2 linked regions of the Mus musculus genome follow. The protein of the gene in region 1 purifies or fractionates together with the protein of each later gene. This does not show direct contact. Links are inferred from orthologs where the notes say so. Each region holds a gene or a part of one and is shown on either strand. Other genes may lie near its edges.

The links.
Region 2: the proteins of Mia2 (region 1) and Preb purify together in Homo sapiens (affinity purification with western blotting; 3 studies listed by BioGRID and IntAct, with this or other methods). This does not show direct contact. The link is inferred for Mus musculus from reciprocal best matches to the Homo sapiens genes MIA2 and PREB.

The regions. Positions count from the first base shown.
Region 1 is NC_000078.6:59,185,903-59,189,713, forward strand, and holds part of Mia2 (melanoma inhibitory activity protein 2 isoform 6 precursor), read left to right. Parts: intron 1-2,408; coding exon 2,409-2,643; intron 2,644-3,733; coding exon 3,734-3,811. UniProt on the Homo sapiens protein: Plays a role in the transport of cargos that are too large to fit into COPII-coated vesicles and require specific mechanisms to be incorporated into membrane-bound carriers and exported from the endoplasmic reticulum.
Region 2 is NC_000071.6:30,957,249-30,961,764, reverse strand, and holds the start of Preb (prolactin regulatory element-binding protein), read left to right. Parts: upstream 1-1,437; 5' UTR 1,438-1,659; coding exon 1,660-1,794; intron 1,795-2,352; coding exon 2,353-2,542; intron 2,543-2,828; coding exon 2,829-3,049; intron 3,050-3,213; coding exon 3,214-3,294; intron 3,295-3,407; coding exon 3,408-3,532; intron 3,533-3,703; coding exon 3,704-3,877; intron 3,878-4,516.

The sequences.
Region 1 (3,811 bases):
GAAGAGTACATGAAATCTCATTATGGATGGTTGTGAGCCACCATGTGGTTGCTGGGATTTGAACTCAGGACCTTCTGAAGAGCAGTCAGTGCTCTTATCTGCTGAGCCATCTCTCCAGCCCCATAACCAGTTTCTTGGTTTTGCTAGAATAAGGCTAGAACTGTTCTACCTGTCATAACAATATGTTATAAAAACATACTTCTACTTAGGATTAACACTGTTTCCTTTCTGGCTGTTGTTTTACCTATGGTAAAATATTACAAATCACAAGCCATGTAATCCTGACATGTTGGTAGGCTGAGGCAGGAGGATCATGAGGTCAAAGTCAGTGTGGACTACATAAGGCAATGTTGTTTGAAAACGCCAGATCATGGACTGGAGAAATGGCTTACAGGTTAAGAGCACTGGCTGCTCTCCTAGAGGACCTAGGTTTGATTCCTAGCAACTGCCTGGTATCTCACAACCATGCTTAACTCCAGTCCCAGGGGATCAGAAGTCCTATTGTTATCCTCCAAGAATTGTACGTGGTTGTGCATGGTATGCTGACATACATGAAGGCAAAATACCCATACACATATGGTAAATGAAACGTTAAAAAAAAAAAAAAAAGATTCTCTATGCCGGGCGTGGTGGCGCACGCCTTTAATCCCAGCACTTGGGAGACAGAGGCAGGCGGATTTCTGAGTTCCAGGCCAGCCTGGTCTACAGAGTGAGTTCCAGGACAGCCAGGACTACACAGAGAAACCCTGTCTCGAAAAACCAAAAAAAAAAAAAAAAAAAAAAAAAAGAAACCTACAGCTCCCCTGTTTAAAAAACAACAAAACATGACTTTCAGATGGGTTTTTAAGCCACCTTACTTACTAGCTGAACACACTTAGAATTTCTTCCTTGAAATCTTATTTGAATCTTAAAGTATATTTTAGTTTTAAAATATGATATTGACTTTTGTCATTTTGGAAATATCAGTATCTTTTTTCCCCATTGGTTTATTCACTTTATATCCTGATCACAGGCCCCCTCTTCTCCCAGTCCCTTCCCCCACACGCAGCCGCCCCCCCCCCCTTCATCTCTAAGAAAGTGGAGGTCCCCACTGGGTACCAACCCACACTGGTACCTTAAGTCACTACAGGACCAGGTACATCCTCTCTCATTGAGACCAGACAAGACAGTTCAGTGAGGGGACAGGATCCACAGGCAGGCAAGAGAGTCAGGGTAAGCTCCCACTCCTGTTTTGGGGGACCCACATGAAGACCAAGCTGCACATCTGCATGTGTGAGGAGGCCCAAGGCGAGCCCTTGTCTGCTCTTTGGTTGGTGGTTCAGTTTCTGGGATCACCCACGGGTCTAGGGTAGTTGACTCTGTTGGTCTTCTTATGGATTCCCTTTCCCCTCTAGGTCCCTCAATTCTTCCCCCAACTCTTCCACAAGACTTCCCAAGCTCTGTCTAATGTTTGGCTGTGAGACTCTGCATTTGTTTTGGTCACTGCTGAGTGGAGCCTCTCAGAGGACAGTTATGCTAGGTTCCTGTCTGCAAGCATAACAGGATACCATTAATAATGTCAGGGATTGGTGCTTGCCCATGGGATGGGTCTCAAGTTGGGTTATTGTTTGGCCATTCCCTCAGTCTTTTTTCCATGTTTATCCATGCACTTCTTATAGGTAGGACGCATTTTGTGTCAGGTTTTGTGGGTGGGTTGGTGTCCTTATCCCTCCACTGGGGTTCCTGCCTGACTACAGGAGTTGGTCACTTCAGGCCCCCACTGCTAAGAATCTCAGCTAGAGTCACCCACATAGACTCTCTGGAGCTCCTTTATCCCAGGTCTCTAGTGGGTCCTAGAGATGCTCCCCGCACCCCCAATTTCTGTTCACTTGGCTGGTTCTCCCTACACCGGATCGCCCCTTTGTTTCCCTCCTCATCTTCAAAATATCAGTATCTCAACATTTTCTTTTTACATGTGTGTTTGATAACGGTGTTTTTATCCTTTTTTTTTTTTTAAAAGATTTATTTATGTATATGAGTACACTGTAGCTGACTTCAGACACACCATAAGAGGGCATCCGATCTCTTTACAGATGGCTGTGAGTCACCATGTGGTTGCTGGGAATTGAACTCAGGACCTCTAGAAGAGCACTCAGTGCTCCTAACAACTGAGCCACCTCTCCAGCCTGTGTTTTCATCTTTTTAAGTGTTCATTTTGATATGCTTGAACTGTACTTGAGTTTTACTTGAGCTAGGTAGACTATTAATACATGTTAACATGCAGCTCATATGCCGATATGGAAAACGGAGTCTGTTGTGCAGCTTTCTAGAGTGCCGTGGCCCACGTTCAGCATTGGCACCTAAAGGCTTCAGGAAAGGAGCTGTGAATCGAGCCACTGTACTGACTGCTGCTTGTCCATCTGTTCCAGAACTCTAATGTGCCTGATTCTCCTATCCCTGCTGAATGCGAAGCAGCTGGCCGTGGCTTCTTCCCTCCACCCTTTCCTCCAGTCAGAGACCCATTGTTTCCAGTGGATCCAAGGAGCCAGTTCATGAGAAGGGGCCCCTCTTTCCCCCCACCTCCTCCAGGAAGCATCTATGCAGCTCCTCGAGATTATTTTCCACCAAGGGACTTCCCTGGCCCACCACTTCCTCCGTTCCCAGGTAGGCTTTTTTAATAGTCCCTGCAGATGACAGTTTATCTGTGCTTTACTTGTAGTTTGGTCCCTGCTGCTGTGATACACTATCCAGAACCACCTCGCGGGAAGGAACGGGTTTATATAGCTCACAGCTTACAGTCCAGCATCAAAGGGAGCCAGGGCTCCATCCACCTTAGCTAAGTTTTCATTTTAACTGTATTGTGATAGTTCAGAAAACCACTCAATTTACAAGCAGTTTTAAGATTAAAATTATGTGTAATTCATTTGATAGAAATGTATTGTGGCCTGGTGTGGTGGTGCACGCCTTTAGTCCCAGCACTTGGGAGGCAGAGACAGGCAAGATTTCTGAGTTCGAGGCCAGCCTGGTCTACAAAGTGAGTTCCAGGACAGCCAGGGCTATACAGAGAAACCCTGTCTCAAAAAACAAAAACAAAACAACAACAAAAAAAATGTATTGTGGTGATTAGTTAAATTATTACTTATATTTTAGTTTTAAGATTACTGACTAAAATGTTGTACACTTTTTCATAAATAGTTCCTGTGACCATATTTATTTAAAATCTATGTTCATTTCTAGTTATTTGTTGAACTTACTGAAATTCCTTAATACCCTTTCATTTTAAAATCAAAGTAATTTATTGCTTTTACAGCATACTTTCCCATTTGGAACCCAGGTTTCTTCACAGTAAATCCTAAGTCCTAGACAAGAACCAGCCTAGTTGTCCTGTGAGGTCACTCTCATCACTAGTTTTCAAGTTCAAGGTGAATCAAGATGAACTTTGTTTGGGAAGTTTTAAGGTGGTCCTTGGTATTATAGGAAATATTTTTAGTAGAATATCAAGAGCTTAAAGTCTTGAGTGTATCAAAATCTTGTGTAGCTGCTAAGATAGGACAAACGTACCTGAAATTAGTAATATTCTTATTAATCCTGTGTTTTTGATGAAGTACCTTTTTCAGTGACAAAATTAATTCTTGAGATCAAGTACTGTGGCGTGAGTGTTTGAATGTCATAATAGCTCCTGGAGCTGCTAGGTTAACAAGTGTGCAGTACTCAGTTTAAACTTCCAATGTCTTTTGCTAATCTCTTTGAACAGGGAGAACTGTGTACGCACCGAGGGGCTTTCCACCTTACCTTCCCCCCAGAGCTGGGTTCTTCCCCCCACCCCCACATC
Region 2 (4,516 bases), on another chromosome or scaffold:
CTTAGCGACCTTCCTTTCACTTGCTCAACAGTGTTTTACAAACAGGAACTGACATAAAATAAGAGAAGCGGCCAGTGTGAACTGGAGTTTGCCTAGTCATTTTTCATTCACACAGTGAGAAGTTCTGCTTCTTAGGACATCTCTGAAACCAAATATGGAGTGTTTTCAGACACATCTCCAATTCTAAGACACCAACTAGGTATCTGTCCAACAATGGAACGAAATTTCTAACACCACCCACCCACAGGTGTTCACACTGGATAGATCCCATAAATCAAAGGGACTGATCCTAAAGGATCGTTTCCAGTGTCTCCAGCTTTGAGTCCTGACCATCTATCTGTACTTCTAAATAACAGGCTGGGAAGCAGAAGTCCCTGTGACTTCCTCTGTCAGTCTGGTAAGTTGTCAGAACAGCACACAGAGCTCACTTCCATCTTCCTTAGGATTTCTCTTCTAGCATAAAGAATAGAACTCAGAATTAGCAGAAGGGAAGAGATGTGTAGGGCAAGGTACATGGAGGATAAAGGGTGAAGAATGCAGTACTTCCTTGCCCTCTCTGGGCACACCATCCATCCATCCAGCACCTACATGAGACCACCAACCCAGGAGCTCATTGATCCCTATTGTCTAGGGTTGTTTTAAAAACAAATATTTCATCATATGGGCACATACTGGCCACTGGTGACTGAATTCAGTGTCAAGTTCCTCTCTCCTCCCTGAAGGCTAGTAAATGGGCCTAAAATTGGCTTCTTCTAATCACGTGGTTTGTTCAGCTGCATATGGGTCCAAAAGACACCATGGTAGTATAAATTCATGTATGGTTGACTGGGGCTCATTATGAATCGCAAAAGACATCAAATACTAAAATATAAACCATATTCAAATAATGGTCCTTACATCTCTATAATGTGAACATGTTCCAAAAACACTTAAATAGTAGGGTAACCAAATAGCCCGGTTTATCTGGGATTTTGTGGGTTTTTGTGCCTAGTCTCAAGTCTTGCCAGTCCCATGAGTTCGATGTTCCAGAAGTGGATGTCAAGCCATAAGAAAGAGTCCAATCAACCGCGGAGGATGCTCTCAAAGTGGGGACTGATTTCTTCATATTAGGATATTAGGAAGCAGTGAATCTGTTTTGGAGTGTCTGTCCTCCACACAACCCGGGAGAACCCATTTCCTCCCTGGAGTAACACACAAAGGCCCGGCTTGTACGAGTCTGCTGTGTATCTCTCCTGAAGTGGGGACTGTCCCAGTCCGAGAACTTTTTAATTCGATTTACTGATCTTCAGTAATCTCTTCTAGCCCCACCTCCCACGCCCCACACAAAGATGGCAGCTTCATCGTCATTCGGGGCTAGGACCCGGATCCGACGCCAGGGTTCCGTGACAGCGCGTCCCGCTAGTGCTGACGCGGATTGGCGTCTTGCGCTTGCGCAGAGAGAGCCCAGGAGCTCGGCGCGTGCGCACTGAACGCCTGCAAGACCCAGTCGGCCGCGCGGGCGCAGATCGGCTGCTTGCGGTGGTTTGAGTGGTGGCAAGTCCAGTGCTGAGAGGGGTCGGCAGTCTTCCGGAAAACTCTAGCGCCAAGTTCCTGAGCTTTCGGAGGCGAGGCGCGGCATGTCGTGGGTTCCGCGGGGTTGGCGGTGAACGTGCGGGCGGGATGGGTCGGCGCCGGGGTGTGGAGCTGTACCGGGCCCCGTTCCCGTTGTACGCGCTTCGGATAGACCCCAAGACTGGGCTGCTCATCGCTGCGGGCGGAGGAGGAGCTGCCAAGACCGGCATAAAGAATGGCGTGGTGAGAACGCAGGGCCACTGAGAACAGGTTATACCGTGGCCCAGGGAGATTCCAGGGTGGCCGGGGGATGCAGAGGTGAGCAGTACCCCTGATTTAGTCCCTACCCATTTCTAGCGGGAGCACCCAGGATTGCCGTTCGGGTGCTGGTTTCACCTGAGCAGAGTGGTTGAGACAGCCAAAATTAGACTGAAAGCTGTGCAGGTCTGCGAATCCAGGACTGTCCACGCCGGATTACGAGAGCTGGTCCAGGGCTCATACGCTGGCCTTTTCCAGGAAGGCACATTGTCTTGTCCATCTTCAAGCAGCTGGAGACGGAATTCTTTTCTTTCTGTAAACTGGACCTAGTAATCTAAACCCTGCTTGCTGTATGAATTAAGAAGCTCCAGTAAGAGAATACAGCTCTAAGCAACAGCAACAACAACCAAAGAAACAAAAAAACAAAAAAAAACAAAAAATAAGAGCTGGAGGTGCGGGAAGCAAAAGTACAACTGAGAGAGACTAGGATTTAATGTGACTTCCGGGCTGGCCTGACCTTTGCCCACTTTGGTTCCCTCACAGCATTTTCTGCAGCTAGAGCTGATCAACGGGTGCCTGAGCGCTTCCTTGCTGCACTCTCATGACACGGAGACACGGGCCACCATGAATTTGGCGCTTGCTGGTGACATTCTTGCTGCCGGACAGGATGCCCAGTGTCAGCTTCTTCGTTTCCAGGTCCATCAACAGAAGGGCAGTAAAGCGGAGAAGTCAGGTGAAGAGCTTTGGAAAAAGTCGCTCTAATTCTTGGTCTCCAAAAACGAGAGATTAGGTGTGGGGCAGTGGTCACATTGAAGTCTGTACTTGGGTCACTAGAGGACTGGTGTTAGTTAATACAGATGCTCAGGTCCATCTGAGGGAGGTGGTGCACAGCTGTAGTCTCAGAGCTTAGGAGTGGAGGCAAGAGGATATTTAAGGCTAGCCTGGGGTGCCTAGCAAATCCCTGTCTTAAAAAACAACAACAAAGGAATCTGGTTCCTGGCAAATTGTTTGTGTTGCAGGTTCCAAGGAGCAGGGACCTCGACAGAGAAAGGGGGCTCCTCCAGCAGAGAAGAAATCGGGAGCACAAGTTCACCCCGAAGGGGTTGAACTCAAAGTAAAGAATTTGGAGGCAGTACAGACAGACTTCAGCAATGAACCGCTGCAGAAAGTTGTGTGCTTCAACCATGATAACACCCTGCTTGCCACTGGAGGAACTGATGGTCATGTTCGTGTCTGGAAGGTGTGGTTTTAGGGGCTTGGGGGGGTGGGTGAGTGTTAGTTGCAATAACACCAAAATTGTGAGAATCTGAATATGCATTCTGTGAAACTTGAGTGGCCATTGGGGTAAGAGGGATGGGGATTTCAGCGTTCTCGCTGTCTGGTCTGTAACTGTCTTGGCTGTAGGTACCTAGCCTGGAGAAAGTTCTGGAGTTCAAAGCCCATGAAGGGGAGATTGGAGATTTGACTTTGGGTCCTGATGGCAAGGTAAGGAGGTGGAGATGTGGGATGCTGGTGCAGAAAGGCAGAGCCTATTGTGTGCCTTGCACAGTACATAGATGTCCTAACTGTCCATCTTTGGGATCTTTACTCCTCCCCAGCTGGTTACAGTGGGCTGGGACTTTAAGGCCTCTGTGTGGCAGAAGGATCAACTGGTGACACAGCTACAGTGGCAAGAGAATGGACCAGCCTCTTCTAATACACCATACCGCTACCAGGCCTGCAGGTGTGCAGGTCACAGGGTGGCTGGCAGGCACACCTCAGCTGGGAAATGGGAAAAGACAGAAGGAGCTGGCCATGGCTGGAGCCTTGTTGGAGGTTGTTCCAGGTGTGACCAGGGTGCAGGGCACAAACATGAGGGCTGACAGGAACTGAAAGCCTTTTGCCTGGCCTCCAGGTTTGGGCAGGTTCCAGATCAGCTCGGTGGGCTGCGACTCTTCACAGTGCAGATACCCCACAAGCGCCTACGTCAGCCCCCACCCTGCTACCTCACAGCCTGGGACAGTTCCACCTTCTTGCCTCTTCGGACCAGATCCTGTGGCCATGAGGTCATTTCCTGCCTCAGTGTCAGGTGTGAAGTCCTACTGCTTGATTGGATGGTGGGCGCTTGAGGGAGCTGGGGAATGAGTCCTGACTCAGTCTCTGGAGGACCACTGTTGTGGGGAGGGAGTTTGCACAAGCTTCAGAGCAATGAGCCCTCTGTTGTGTGTTACAGTGAACCCTCTGTTGTTGTATGTATGTTACAGTGAATCCTCTGTTGTATGTTACAGTGAATCCTCTGTTGTATGTATGTTACATTGAATCCTCTGTTGTGTGTTACAGTGAATCCTCTGTTGTGTTACAGAGAATCCTCTGTTGTCTGTTAGTGAATCCTCTGTTGTGTGTTACAGTGAATCTTCTGTTGTGTGTTACAGTGAATCCTCTGTTGTATGTGTGTTACAGTGAATCCTCTGTTGTATGTATGTTACAGTGAATCTTCTGTTGTATGTTACAGTGAATCTTCTGTTGTATGTTACAGTGAAACCTCTGTTGTATGTATGTTACAGTGAATCCTCTGTTTTATGTATGTTACAGTGAACCCTCTGTTGTATGTTACAGTGAATCCTCTGTTGTATGTATGTTACAGTGAATCCTCTGTTGTGTGTTACAGTGAATCCTCTGTTGTATGTTACAGTGAAACCTCTGTTGTATGTATGTTACAGTGAATCCT